Ovis aries: one gene and its partners. The protein of the gene in region 1 interacts with the protein of each later gene in a pairwise test. Links are inferred from orthologs where the notes say so. Each region holds a gene or a part of one and is shown in the gene's direction. Other genes may lie near its edges.

Region 1 (4,301 bases):
AGCTTTGTTCTCATTGGCTTACGTAGGGGAATAGAATTTGCGTTATCTTGTGGGAGCTAAGTTCCCCAACCAGCGACTGAATCTAGGCCCTCTGTAGTGAGCTCATGGGAGTCCTAACCATTAGATGGTGAGGGAATTCCTGAAAATTTTTCACATTAACAGTAACTTCACAGTACATCAACTTGAAACTTATTTCTATGATCTGTTGGTCATTTCTTTGTGCTAATATTAACTTGGTGTTGGAGAAGATTGTTGAGAGTCCCTTGGACTGCAAGGATATCCAACCAGTCCACCCTAAAGGAGATCAGTCCTGCGTGTTCACTGGAAGGACTATGTCGAAGCTGAAACTCCCAATACTTTGGCCACCTGATGGAAAGAGCTGACTCATTTGAAAAGACCCTGATGCTGGGGAAAGATTGAAGGCGGGAGGAGAAGGGGACAAGAGGATGAGATGGTTGGATGGCAGCACTAACTCAATGGACATTAGTTTGGGTAAACTCTGGGAGTTCGTGATGGACAGGAAGCCTGGCGTGCTGCAGTCCATGGGGTCGCAAAGAGTCGGACACGACTGAGCGACTGAAACGAACTGAACTAACTTGAGCTAATTAACTCTTGGACGCCTTGCTATGATCTAAGAATAGTTTTAAAGTTATATAATTTTGCTTATTCTTATATGCTACACAGAGGCGGCATCTCTGAATTAGATTAACAAACGCGCTCCTTTTTGCCACTTAGAGGGGGTAAAACGGTAGTGGTGGTTGTAGAAAGTTGCGTCCTAACCGTTAGGAGTTTCGTTAATCTCTTAAAATGCTTGACTACGACAGCTCCCAATTATTCACCTTCTCGTGGAAGGATGACAGGGATAGACAAGAACTGTTTACTAATGCCTGGCCCCGCAGAGAGCCTCAATGCACCTGCGCAAACCAGAACAGGAACACCCACAAGACAAAGAATACCCGTAATTATACCTCTGTTCACCGACTGGACTCCTGCGCGCACACACCCCACTCTCCCTTAGCTCCGCCCCCTCGTGCGTGCCGACACCTCCTTCCGTCCAACTTCGGTTTCCTCTGCGAGCAGCCCCGCCCTCTTCCGGGACCAGACGTCATCATTCTCGCTTCCCGGTATCTAAGGTGATGAGGGGGACTTCCCACTGAAGGGAGCGGGCGTCTTATTGGACGGCGGCGAGCTCCTGAGGCGCCCAAGTTGCGCCTAGAAAACAGTTCTGTAGGCGCCTGTGTTCCGTGAGGCAGAAGGGTTTAGAGTTGAACGTGGAAAAACGTGTATTCTGAGGAACTGTGATTTTGAGGCGTGAAGCGCGTCTGGCTTGCCCTGTTTCAATATGGCGGCGTAGCCTGTCTGAGTGTCTTCCTTCCTCTCTCCCGCCCCCAGGCTTTGTTTGATTGGCTAGCGGACGGCGCCGTAGAGTGACGCACAAGGCTGCTGACCAATCGGCTTAGAGCTGAGGTGGACTTGGTGGTTGGAGCCGGAGCCCGGCTTTTAGCAGCTGTGGTTGCGGAAGGCTGCGGCCAGGTGAGCTTCCTGGGCCAGGTGAGCGGGCAGCACAGGTGATGGGAGGCCTAGAGCTGGGATAAGAGTCTCTGCTGAGGGCGGGTGGGTTACTCCTGGGGCGAGGCCTTTTCCCAGCAGGCGGAGGAACTGAGGGGATCGGTGACCCAAGGGTTTGTTGAAAGTGGCTCGGTCCCCGCCAGCTGGGGCGGTGGGCCTGCTTTTGGCGCAGAATCCCTCGGACTCGAGGGAGGGGGCCCAGAAGGATCCAACGTCCATTTTAAAGTTGAGGAACTCGAGAATTAGTTTAAATGATTTACGCTTCGTAACGGAGTCGGAGCTAAGAACCCAGGTCTTCGGACTCCTTGCTTAGCCTTAGCTGCGTCCTGAAAAGTCATGCCCTTAAGGTGGGATGAATGGTACAGATTTTTTTTTTACAGATACATATACAGGATCTTAATGCACTGTTGGCTCATGCACACAGTTTTGCATGTAGTTTCAAAGGATTTATTGACCTTGTGAAGTTCCTTGTTGGCTGTGAGCCCAGAGTTAAGAATCCACGCTGTTGAAAGAGTGAGGGGAAGAGAGGCAGTGGGAAATGGACAGTGCAGGTTTTACTATGTAGATGCTTGGGGACATAGGACGGAGATATAGTACCTATTAGTAAGGAAATGTTTTGAGAAGGAAAATGGTCACTAAATGAAAGCTGCTGAGGTGCTTGCTGAGAGTGCTTTCATTCCCACCTAAATTACCTTTTGCTGCCCAGGAAGCTGTGGAAGTGTTTCTGTGTATATAGTGCCTCAGTTTCCCACTTTTGCCAGACATAACATATGCCTCAGGGGTTTAATTGGAACAGACATTTGGAATTTCTATGATCAATGTTGTGTGTAGCAGAGTAATCGGTTCATTCACATTTATAAGCTGTATATTGTTTTCTTTGTCCGAGTTATTAACAGTATGGTACATCTTAAAATAATTGGAGACAGTCATTATTTAGCATTGCATAAGTGAGCACTAGAAGCCACTTATATAATAGATACCTTAATTTGCCTTTTTTCCCATTGTTGAGCTTTTTGTTCCCTTGAATCCTACCTAATAGCTGAACTGTACGTTAGCCTAGATTTTAGTATGTAAACAGGATGTATAGGGCACTCAGGGGAATTGGCATTATCTGGGTTTGAAAGTGTACTTAATCTGAATGGCTGTTAAAGTTGGAATCTTTCAAGGCATGAGCATAAGTGACTGTGGTGAGAGGATGGGTGCTGCTGAGGTGTGTATGTAGTGTAGTAGTCCGCTGGCCTTTAATTCCGGTGATCCCAAGAAGTACTTTGGGTAAGCACTGGGGGCTGTTCACTCCATGAATAGCATTTGAGCATCAGTATCTAGGTCTTTTCTTTGTAGTTAATAATGGAAAGAGGGAAAAGGGCACAAAACCAAGATCGCTTGGAATGTAAATTTTAATACAAGTTTTACTGAAATAGAATCAGGAGGAAAGGGGGTCAGGGAGGAAGGTAGCCAGCTTCTGAAACAGGGCTTGAACACGGGGTTGAAATCTGCTTGGCTGAAGTGATAATGTGCTGTTTGAGGAGATTTAAATGACTTACTCAACTGCATGCAGCTTAGAGATGAACAAGTGATTTTAAACCTCCCGCCCCTTTTATTTTTTTTAAGTGCTAGAAACGGGGATTTGGGAAAGGAAAAGGAAAGTAGCCATAAAGTTAACTGACCCTTGGGGGTCAGAGAGAAGTGAGACGTTGACATCCTCCAGTGACAAGTTCTTCTAGACTTAAGTGTTTAAAGAATGTTGCGTTAGGTCATCATCTTTTTTTTTGAAGTTCAGTTGGGAATTTCACATACAATTAAGGGTTTATCTGTAGTTTTTTTTTTAGACAATGGCCACATACCTGGAGTTCATTCAGCAGAATGAAGAACGCGATGGTGTGCGTTTTAGTTGGAATGTGTGGCCTTCCAGCAGACTCGAGGCTACAAGAATGGTTGTTCCCCTTGCTTGTCTTCTCACTCCTTTAAAAGAACGTCCAGACCTGCCTCCCGTACAGTATGAACCAGTGCTCTGCAGCAGGCCAACTTGCAAAGCCATTCTCAATCCACTTTGGTATGAACTCTTTTAAAAACCAGTAAAAAGGATAACTGCAATAAATTCCGACGTTTACGTGATTCTCATAAAAGTGATTCATTTGGGCAAGATGTCAGATCTGAGATGAGTAGTGAATAGTGAGATACTTAGGTAATGAGTGCTTTTGGGAATCCCTCTGGCCTGATAACTCCAAATAGAATTAGAACTTACAGGGTGACGTGGAGGGAAAGGATTGGTTGTTGTTTTTCCCTTCTGGTTTGCAGTTTATTTTTGGTTTAACCGTTCATTTTATTGGTGTCTTTAAAGCTTTTTCCAGAAAAATCCAAATGCTCTAGACAGTTCTGTCACACCTACCTGGTATGGTGATCCCGTATGGCAGGAAGAAATAACAGGCAGAAGAAATTTGAGCTCTTGAAAGATGTTATTGTTAAGTGTAACTTTTTTTTGCACCTGGAATAGTGACCTGTGATCACTCTCGTAAATGTGGGCACTCTTTGAAAGAATTTGTAAACAAATGAAGAGTGTCATAAATACTCTTTAAAGGATAAAATTTTTATATAAGGGAACTTTTTTTTACTTCATTCTCCTTGCTTTTACTTGATGTGCCCATGTTTAAGATGCTGCTGCTCTTTTAAAATAATAGCCCCTGATATTAATTTTCTAAACTTAGAAAGCAGGGGGCAAGCAACAAATTTTA
Region 2 (3,648 bases), on another chromosome or scaffold:
CGGACACGACTGAGCGACTGAACTGAACTGATAACAAGGTTTAAAAGTATACTTTTTATTACTGTGTAATCTTTATTACATTTTAATATTTTTACAGTTTTACTGAAATTGAAAAATGATGGAAGAAAGTGGAATAGAGACAACGCCACCTGGGACCCCTCCACCGAATCCCGGGGGCCTTGCTTCTGCTGCACTGTCCTCCTCCCCGGCTCCTTTAGGTACGTGCAGTTGTCTAGCATCAGTGGGTTTTGAGGAGAGTCAGGGTACTGTCATCTTTTCTCAGAGTCATTGAACAAAAGCCTAGAGACATACCTCAGAGATACTGTGAGTTCAGTTCCAGACCACTGCAATAAAGCAAGTCACGTGGATTTTATTTCCTCGTGCATATAGAAATTACGATTGCACTATACTGTAGTCTGTTAAGTGTGTAATAGATTATGTCTATGTCTAAAAAAAACAATGTACCCACTTCAGTTAAATACTTTGCTAAAGCATTGCTTTAAAATGCTGACTATCATCTGGGCCTTCAGCGAGTTGCAGTCTTTTTGCAGTGCCAGAGATCAGTGATCATGCATCACCATAACAAATACAATAATAATGTAAAGTTTGAAATATCTTGAGAGGTACCAGAATGTCACACAGAGACATGAAGAACAAATGCTGCCGGGTGAAACGGCACTGATAGACTTGCTTGACATAAGGGTTGCCACAAACCTTCAGTTTGTAAAATGAAGCAAAATAAACTGAGGTGTGCCTACATATTAAAACTTTTGTAATCTTTGCCAGGATGAAGGTAAATAGCCTTTTTTATTTAAGCCCAAAGGCAGAAAACATCTTTGTTTGCTTTAATTTTTATTTTTTGTTTTCATATTAACTAGAAATCATCTTTGTCATGACAGAAATATCCTAAAAAGCACGTTAGCTTTGTCTAATGTTCTGTGACTTCGTGGAGATTAACCTTCTGACCAAAGTTTTTGAGCCCTAAATTGTGAGGTTTTATGCTCGTATTAGCAGAGATGAAAAGCAGGTCTATTTTATTAAAAGCACAACAAAACAAACGGAAACACAAAGATCTGCAATACCATAACCTAGTTGTATATACCTGCTGTTTTTACTGATGGGAATTGAGAGTCATTTGCACTCAGTCATACTCATGTATTTTAAATTATGTATTTAAAGATAACTCTTGGGAATAGGATCTGTTAAATTTAAAAATTTTCCAAGATGATAATGAGATACTTTGAAAACTAAGTGAAAAGCATGTCACTGAAGCGTGATTTTTCCTCCCCTCTTTCCTAGCTGCAGCCAGCACCTTCTCTTCTCCAAGCGGGTCCTCTGTGCAGAGCCTGCCGCCACAGGTGTTCTCCACCCCCCAGCCGTCCCTGCCTCCTGTGCAGCCTGCGGCACCCTTGCCCTTTGTGCCATCTTCACCAGTTCCTTCGGTTCCTCCGCTCGTCACCTCTCTGCCACCTCCTGTTTCTCCACCGACTGGTGCTGCCTTCAGTCATCCTCCTCTATCCCACTTCCCGCCTTCCACCTCTGCCCCAAACACTCTCTTATCTGCACCCCCTTCGGGTCCTCCCACTTCGGGATTCTCTGTTGGCTCAGCTTACGACATTACAAGGGGACATGCAGGAAGAGCTCCGCAGACACCCCTGATGCCGTCGTTTTCTGCACCTCCAGTGACAGGTATTCTGTCATTGACACTTTGAAACAGGTGGCTATATATGGGGAATGTTTTATCTGTTTTGTTTTTTTAAACAGCTTTATCGAGGTGTAATTCCCATACAATTCACTTTCACATGTACCGTTTGATAGTATTTACTATATTTACCAAGTTGTGCAGCCATCACCACAGTCAATTTTAGAAGCTTTTAATCACCCCTAAAGAAACTGCATACCTGTTAGCAGTCACTCCATACTTCTCCCAATCCTCATGGTTCTCAGAACCACTAATCTACTTCCTGTCTCTGTAGATTTGCTTGTTTTGGACATTTCATATAAATAGACTTGTATTAATATGTAGTCTTTTGTGACAGGCCACTTTCACTTAGTGTGATGTTTTCAAGATTCATCCATGTTGTAACAGGTGTCAGAGCGTTCTTCCTTTCTAGGACTGAAATATATTCCATTGTGTGGATATACCATGTTTTATTTATTCATCAGTTGATAAACTGTTGGGTTGTTTCCACTTTTTGGCTATGGTGAGTACTGATTTTATGAACCTTGGTGTGCAAGTTTTAAGTGGAAATGTTTTCATTTCTCTTGAGTATGTACCTAGGTTCAGAATTGCTGAGTTTTTTTTTTTTTTTTTTCCTGAAGGGCTTCATTTTTATTTTTTTCTAAATAAATTGAAGTAAAGTTGCTTTATAACATTGTGTTAGTTTCAGGTATACAGCATAGTTACTCAGTTATACATATATCTATATCTATTCTTTTTCAGATTCTTTTCCATTATAGGTTATTACAAGATATTGAGTAGAGTTCCCTGTGCTATACAGTAGGTCCTTGTTATTTATCTGTTATACGTATATATAGCAATGTTTTTCTGTTAATCCCAAACTCCTAATTTTTCCCCTCCTCTTCGCCTTTGATAACCATTAATTAAAAAAATTTTTTTGGTCTGTCTGTGAGTTTGTGTTGTGAATAAGTTCATTTGCATCATGTTTTTAAATTCCACATGTAAGGAATAATGTGATATTTGTCTTTGTCTGATTTACTTCACTTAGTATGATAATTTCTAGGTCCATCCATGTTGCTGCAAGTGGCATTATCTCATTCTTTCTTTATGGCTGAGTAATATCCTGTTGTGTATACATACACCACATCTATTGAATCACCTGTTGATAGACATTTAGGCTGCTTCCATGTCTTGGCTCCTGTAAATAGTGCTGCTCTTGGGGTGCATGTCAGAATTGCTGAATTTAGTACAGCTATCAGACTACTGTCCAAAGCAGCTGCACCATTCATTTTACTTTCTTAGCACCAGTAAAGGAGGGTTCTTGTTACTCTGCATGAATGTTTTATTCCCTTTTCCTTGATTTTCAGAGCTTCCTATTTTCATTTAAAGTATTGAAATAAAACTGATATTACTTAATATGATTTTTATATGATATGAAACTTAGAACACGGTTAGTATGTGAAAGCAAAAGTTGCTCAGTCATGTCTGACTCTGTGACCCCATGGACTATACAGTCCATGGAATTCTCCAGGGCAGAATACTGAAGTGGGTAGCCTTTCCCTTCTCCAGGGGAATCTTCCCAGCGCAGGGATCTAACCCAGGTCTCCTGCATTGCAGGCAGATTCTTTACCAGCTGAGCCACGAAGAAAGGGAAATGTAAGACAAAATTACAAAATTTTGTCCTAAAATTTTGTGCAGTTATAGAGAAACACCAAGGTGAAGTCCTGAGTATAGCTTTACTTAAAAATTATCAGGACTCAACGATCCAGGGAGTAGTTTTATTTAGCCATGTAAAAGATCAAAATCAAGTAAGTGTATGTACCGTAAGTTGGTGGTATCGGACTATTTTATTTTCTAGGTCAAGAACATCTTTTTTTTGGCTTCCCTGGAATGGTTGTTGGAAATCAGTATTAAAACTATATCCTGTCATATTCTTCCTATTGTTTCTCTAATTTTAGGAAAAGAAA
Region 3 (3,648 bases), on another chromosome or scaffold:
GCGGGGGTGTGGGGGAGGGGAGGGTGGGTGGGGTGGGTGGGAGGGGGGGTCCGAGCCGCCCCAGTCCGCCCTGGGCTAGCCGTGCCGGAGCAGCAAGGCGGCCACGCTCTGCACCGCGACGTCCGGGCCTCGGGGTCTCCCTCCCGCCCGCCGTCTCGGCCGATGCTGAAGGTCGGTGCCCATCCCGCGCCGAGGGGACCCGGCCGGGCCGCCGAGCCGGGCCGGGGGCCGGAGCCCGAGCCTGCGCCCGAGCCCGAGCTCGTCAGAAGTTAAGGTAAGCAGGGCTCCAACCGGCGGCTCTCAGCGCTGAATGGTGGAGTTTACGTCTCGGTGATTTATGGCTGCAGACTTAAATCTCGGTTCAAGAAGAGTTCACAAGCCGGAGCTTCCTTCCCGGCAGTGACTGATACCCTTACACTTCGAGTTCAGGCCGCTTTCCCATCCCCACCCCCACCTCGTCCCTCTCCCAAGCCCAGCCTCAACTTTTCGGGGTTAGGAAGGAGAGGAAGGGCTGGGCGAGGGGACGCGGGGTTTCTTACCCGCCTTTCCCGCTTGAACTCGGGGTGAGGGCAGGCCGAGGAAGGGGCGGGAGTGGAAAAAGAGAGCGGTGTCTGAAGGAAGGAGGTTGAATTTGGGCAGATCTTCCAGAGAGACAATAGGGCTTGCTTCCTGCAGTCAGTTTAGCCTCCTCAACTCTCAGTTCTTGTACCTGAGGGTTATTCTCCAGAAACGGAGCTTTTCAGAGGAATCTCCTCCCATCTCCAACCTTTGCTTGGGGGTGCCAAGCAAAGTTTCCTGGCTGGCAAATTTCCAACTTCTTTACCAGGTTGCAAACTTTGGGGGCTGGATTGGGGTAGAGAGGAGGTTTGTGGGTTGTGTGGGCCCCAAGGTGGGCCTCAAACAATAGGAAGGGCTTTAGTGGGTGAGTTCACATTTTGAGATTGTGGAGTTTGTTGTTTGCTCTTAGAGGTTTAAAGGTATTTTAAATTATTTTACAAGGCAATGCATAACTTGACGAAAAGACTTAAGCCGCAGGCGGGTGTAGCCTCTGATAATGGATTAGCAAGTCACTTGAAATATTGCATGTTCAAGATCAGCTTAATTTTGTTTTATCTAATATCTTGCTGTTCAAGTGTCTGGAGTAATTTTCTTAACCTGACGTTTTATTTTCAAAGATACAAGCCCAGTATCTTAAAAATTTATAATGGCAGACATTAACACTGCCAAATGTAATTGGAACTATTTTCAGTGAAAGAACAGGAAACAGGGACATTCAGTTGCTATTCTGTTTTAAATTTTATTTTATCCTTTATTTACTTTTGATCGTGGGATCTGTAGCTTCCTATCTATTTCCAAAAGAGAAACCGTACAGGCTTAAGATCACATACAATAACTCCGGATAAGGGATGCTGTAATTTTTAATTGTGGTTCTGGGAAATTAATTGTGCCTGTTTTCCAGATGGTGGTTAGATTGTTGGTTTAATAATGAAATCCAAAAGTCTATTATTAAAACCAAAATTATAATCTTTCACTGGTAGATGCTTATTACAGTTAATTTTTTTCTAGTTAACAAAGGGTGTGCTATTTCTGGAAATCTTGAATAACTCCAGGGCACAAATACACATAGTTGAGGTATGCAGTGTAAACCCTTTTCTTCATGAATTTGTTATTGTAATTTTCTTAAATGGTCAGAGAGACTAACATTCTGATTGCATGGTGGGGTGGGAGGCGGTGACTATATGAACTCACATGAAAGTTTTCTGAGCTGAGAGCCAGAGGTTGACCATGCAAAGCTGAAAACATAAAACATAGATTTCACTTTTACAACATGCTTTTTAAATGAAAAGGGATTGAGAAGGCTTTTAGTTGCTTTTTAGCTTTCCAGGTTTGTCCTTTACTTTGTATTTCTAAAGCAGGTAAATAGGCCAAGTAGCACATAACAACAACAATAACAGAACACAAAGATCAGAGAACTCTGGCAGGATTTTATGGCTTGTGCTTCCATCCCTCGTCCGGAGCCAAATGACCCCCATACATCAAATTACATAGCAGTTTCTAAGACAGAACCTATTATCGTTAAGTTGGAAGGAGAGTTCAAGCGGTGGTCATGGAGATGACGCTGGTTTTTCAGGTTCCTGATGGTTTTTTTTTTTTTTTCCTCTCTAATCCATCATGTTTTAACAGGTAGAATTTGATAGTTGTCCTGAATAACAGGACCTCAGAAAGTCCAAGGCAGGAGGGTCTGGGGACTTCTGTAACAGGGGGAAAGAGGTGGGAGTGGCCTGCTGGGACCTGCCTGAGAAATAGGGAGAGGGAGGAGTAAAGAACTGTTCAAGATTTGAGTTTTACTTTCTGGAGAGGGTCTTGTTGTCTGTCTCTTCCCACCCGGAATGTTCCATCCAACATTTTCTCTCCCCTTCTTGACCACAGAGGTCTCATTAGGAGGAGGTAGGTCGTATCCTTACACAAAGGTAGATTAACTGTCTAACAAGCTCAGCTTCTGAAATCAACAAGGGTCCAGTCGGGCTATTGCCTGAAAAGATTTTGTGCGTACCTCTCTTGGGTGCTGAAAGGTCCAAGAAGGGCCTGGATGGGAAGTCACCCCGCGTCATGGTTCTTTTGGCAAATATTAGTCTTAAAGAAAATACTGGAGGAAACGTTGGTGACCCAAACTCTCCTTTGCCCCTCCCCTCGATCTCCAGAAGGGAGGAATGCAAGGAGCGAGCGGAGACCCCAAGTTTCTTCTTCCCTGGAAAATAAGGGATTCGAATCCTGTTCCTTTCTAGTCCATCAGGCCTTTCTCCTTTTGAACTCCAGCCCCGGCTTCCCAACCTCTCTCTCCTCCTCTCTCCCTGGAAAACCCCCCAACTCCAGACGCAAGTTAAGCAAATATTTGTAGCTGCCAGTAAATTCCAGCGGCTTTTTATAGCGCGGCTCTCTGCGCCCGGGGCCAAGTCGTGCTGCTAAATATTGCTGACCACTTTTTCTTTTATGGCTTTCATGTCACTTAGCTATTGAGAGTAAGATGGATTTGCGCGGAGCCCTCACGGCGCTGCGATTCTCGCCCCCCAGGTCTGCGCGGGGCGGCCATTGGCTGCGGAGCGTCACGTGACCGCGGGGGCGTGCCAATGTGCGCCCTCACGGGTGTCAAGGCCCTGTCAGAGTGTGCGATCAAGATTGTGAAACAACGCGATGCAAAAAGCGACATACTACGACAGTTCGGCGATCTACGGTGGCTACCCTTACCAGGCAGCCAACGGGTTCGGTTATAATGCCAATCAGCAGCCGTACCCGGCATCCACAGCGCTGGGCGCAGATGGCGAGTACCACCGACCCGCCTGTTCACTCCAGTCGCCTGCAAATGCCGGGAGCCACCCCAAGGCGCACGAGCTGAGCGAGGCCTGTCTGCGCACCCTGAGCGGTCCTCCCAGCCAGCCTCCGGTTCTCGGCGAGCCGCCCCTGGCCCCACCGCCACCCCAGGCTGCGCCCCCTGCCCCACCGCAGCCTCCAGCCCCGCCGCAGCCCCCTGCACCCACCCCTGCCGCGCCCCCGCCCCCCTCTTCAGTCTCCCCTCCTCAGAATGGCAGCAGCAACCCCACCCCCGCCAGTGCAGCCAAGAGCCCCCTACTCAACTCGCCCACCGTGGCC

Evidence for each region.
Region 2: the proteins of SEC23B (region 1) and PRRC1 interact in binary tests that used the Homo sapiens proteins (3 or more experiments, as listed by UniProt). The two-hybrid records come from large-scale screens. The link is inferred for Ovis aries from reciprocal best matches to the Homo sapiens genes SEC23B and PRRC1.
Region 3: the proteins of SEC23B (region 1) and HOXA3 interact in binary tests that used the Homo sapiens proteins (3 or more experiments, as listed by UniProt). The two-hybrid records come from large-scale screens. The link is inferred for Ovis aries from reciprocal best matches to the Homo sapiens genes SEC23B and HOXA3.

What each region holds. Positions count from the first base shown.
Region 1 is NC_056066.1:38,146,157-38,150,457, forward strand, and holds the start of SEC23B (protein transport protein Sec23B), read left to right. Parts: upstream 1-1,458; 5' UTR 1,459-1,533; exon of another isoform or gene 1,534-1,551; intron 1,552-3,386; 5' UTR 3,387-3,401; coding exon 3,402-3,622; intron 3,623-4,301. UniProt on the Homo sapiens protein: Component of the coat protein complex II (COPII) which promotes the formation of transport vesicles from the endoplasmic reticulum (ER).
Region 2 is NC_056058.1:24,195,644-24,199,291, reverse strand, and holds part of PRRC1 (protein PRRC1), read left to right. Parts: intron 1-97; 5' UTR 98-115; coding exon 116-218; intron 219-1,299; coding exon 1,300-1,689; intron 1,690-3,648. UniProt on the Homo sapiens protein: May act as a regulator of the protein kinase A (PKA) activity during embryonic development.
Region 3 is NC_056057.1:70,508,132-70,511,779, forward strand, and holds part of HOXA3 (homeobox protein Hox-A3), read left to right. Parts: intron 1-3,072; 5' UTR 3,073-3,192; coding exon 3,193-3,648. UniProt on the Homo sapiens protein: Sequence-specific transcription factor which is part of a developmental regulatory system that provides cells with specific positional identities on the anterior-posterior axis.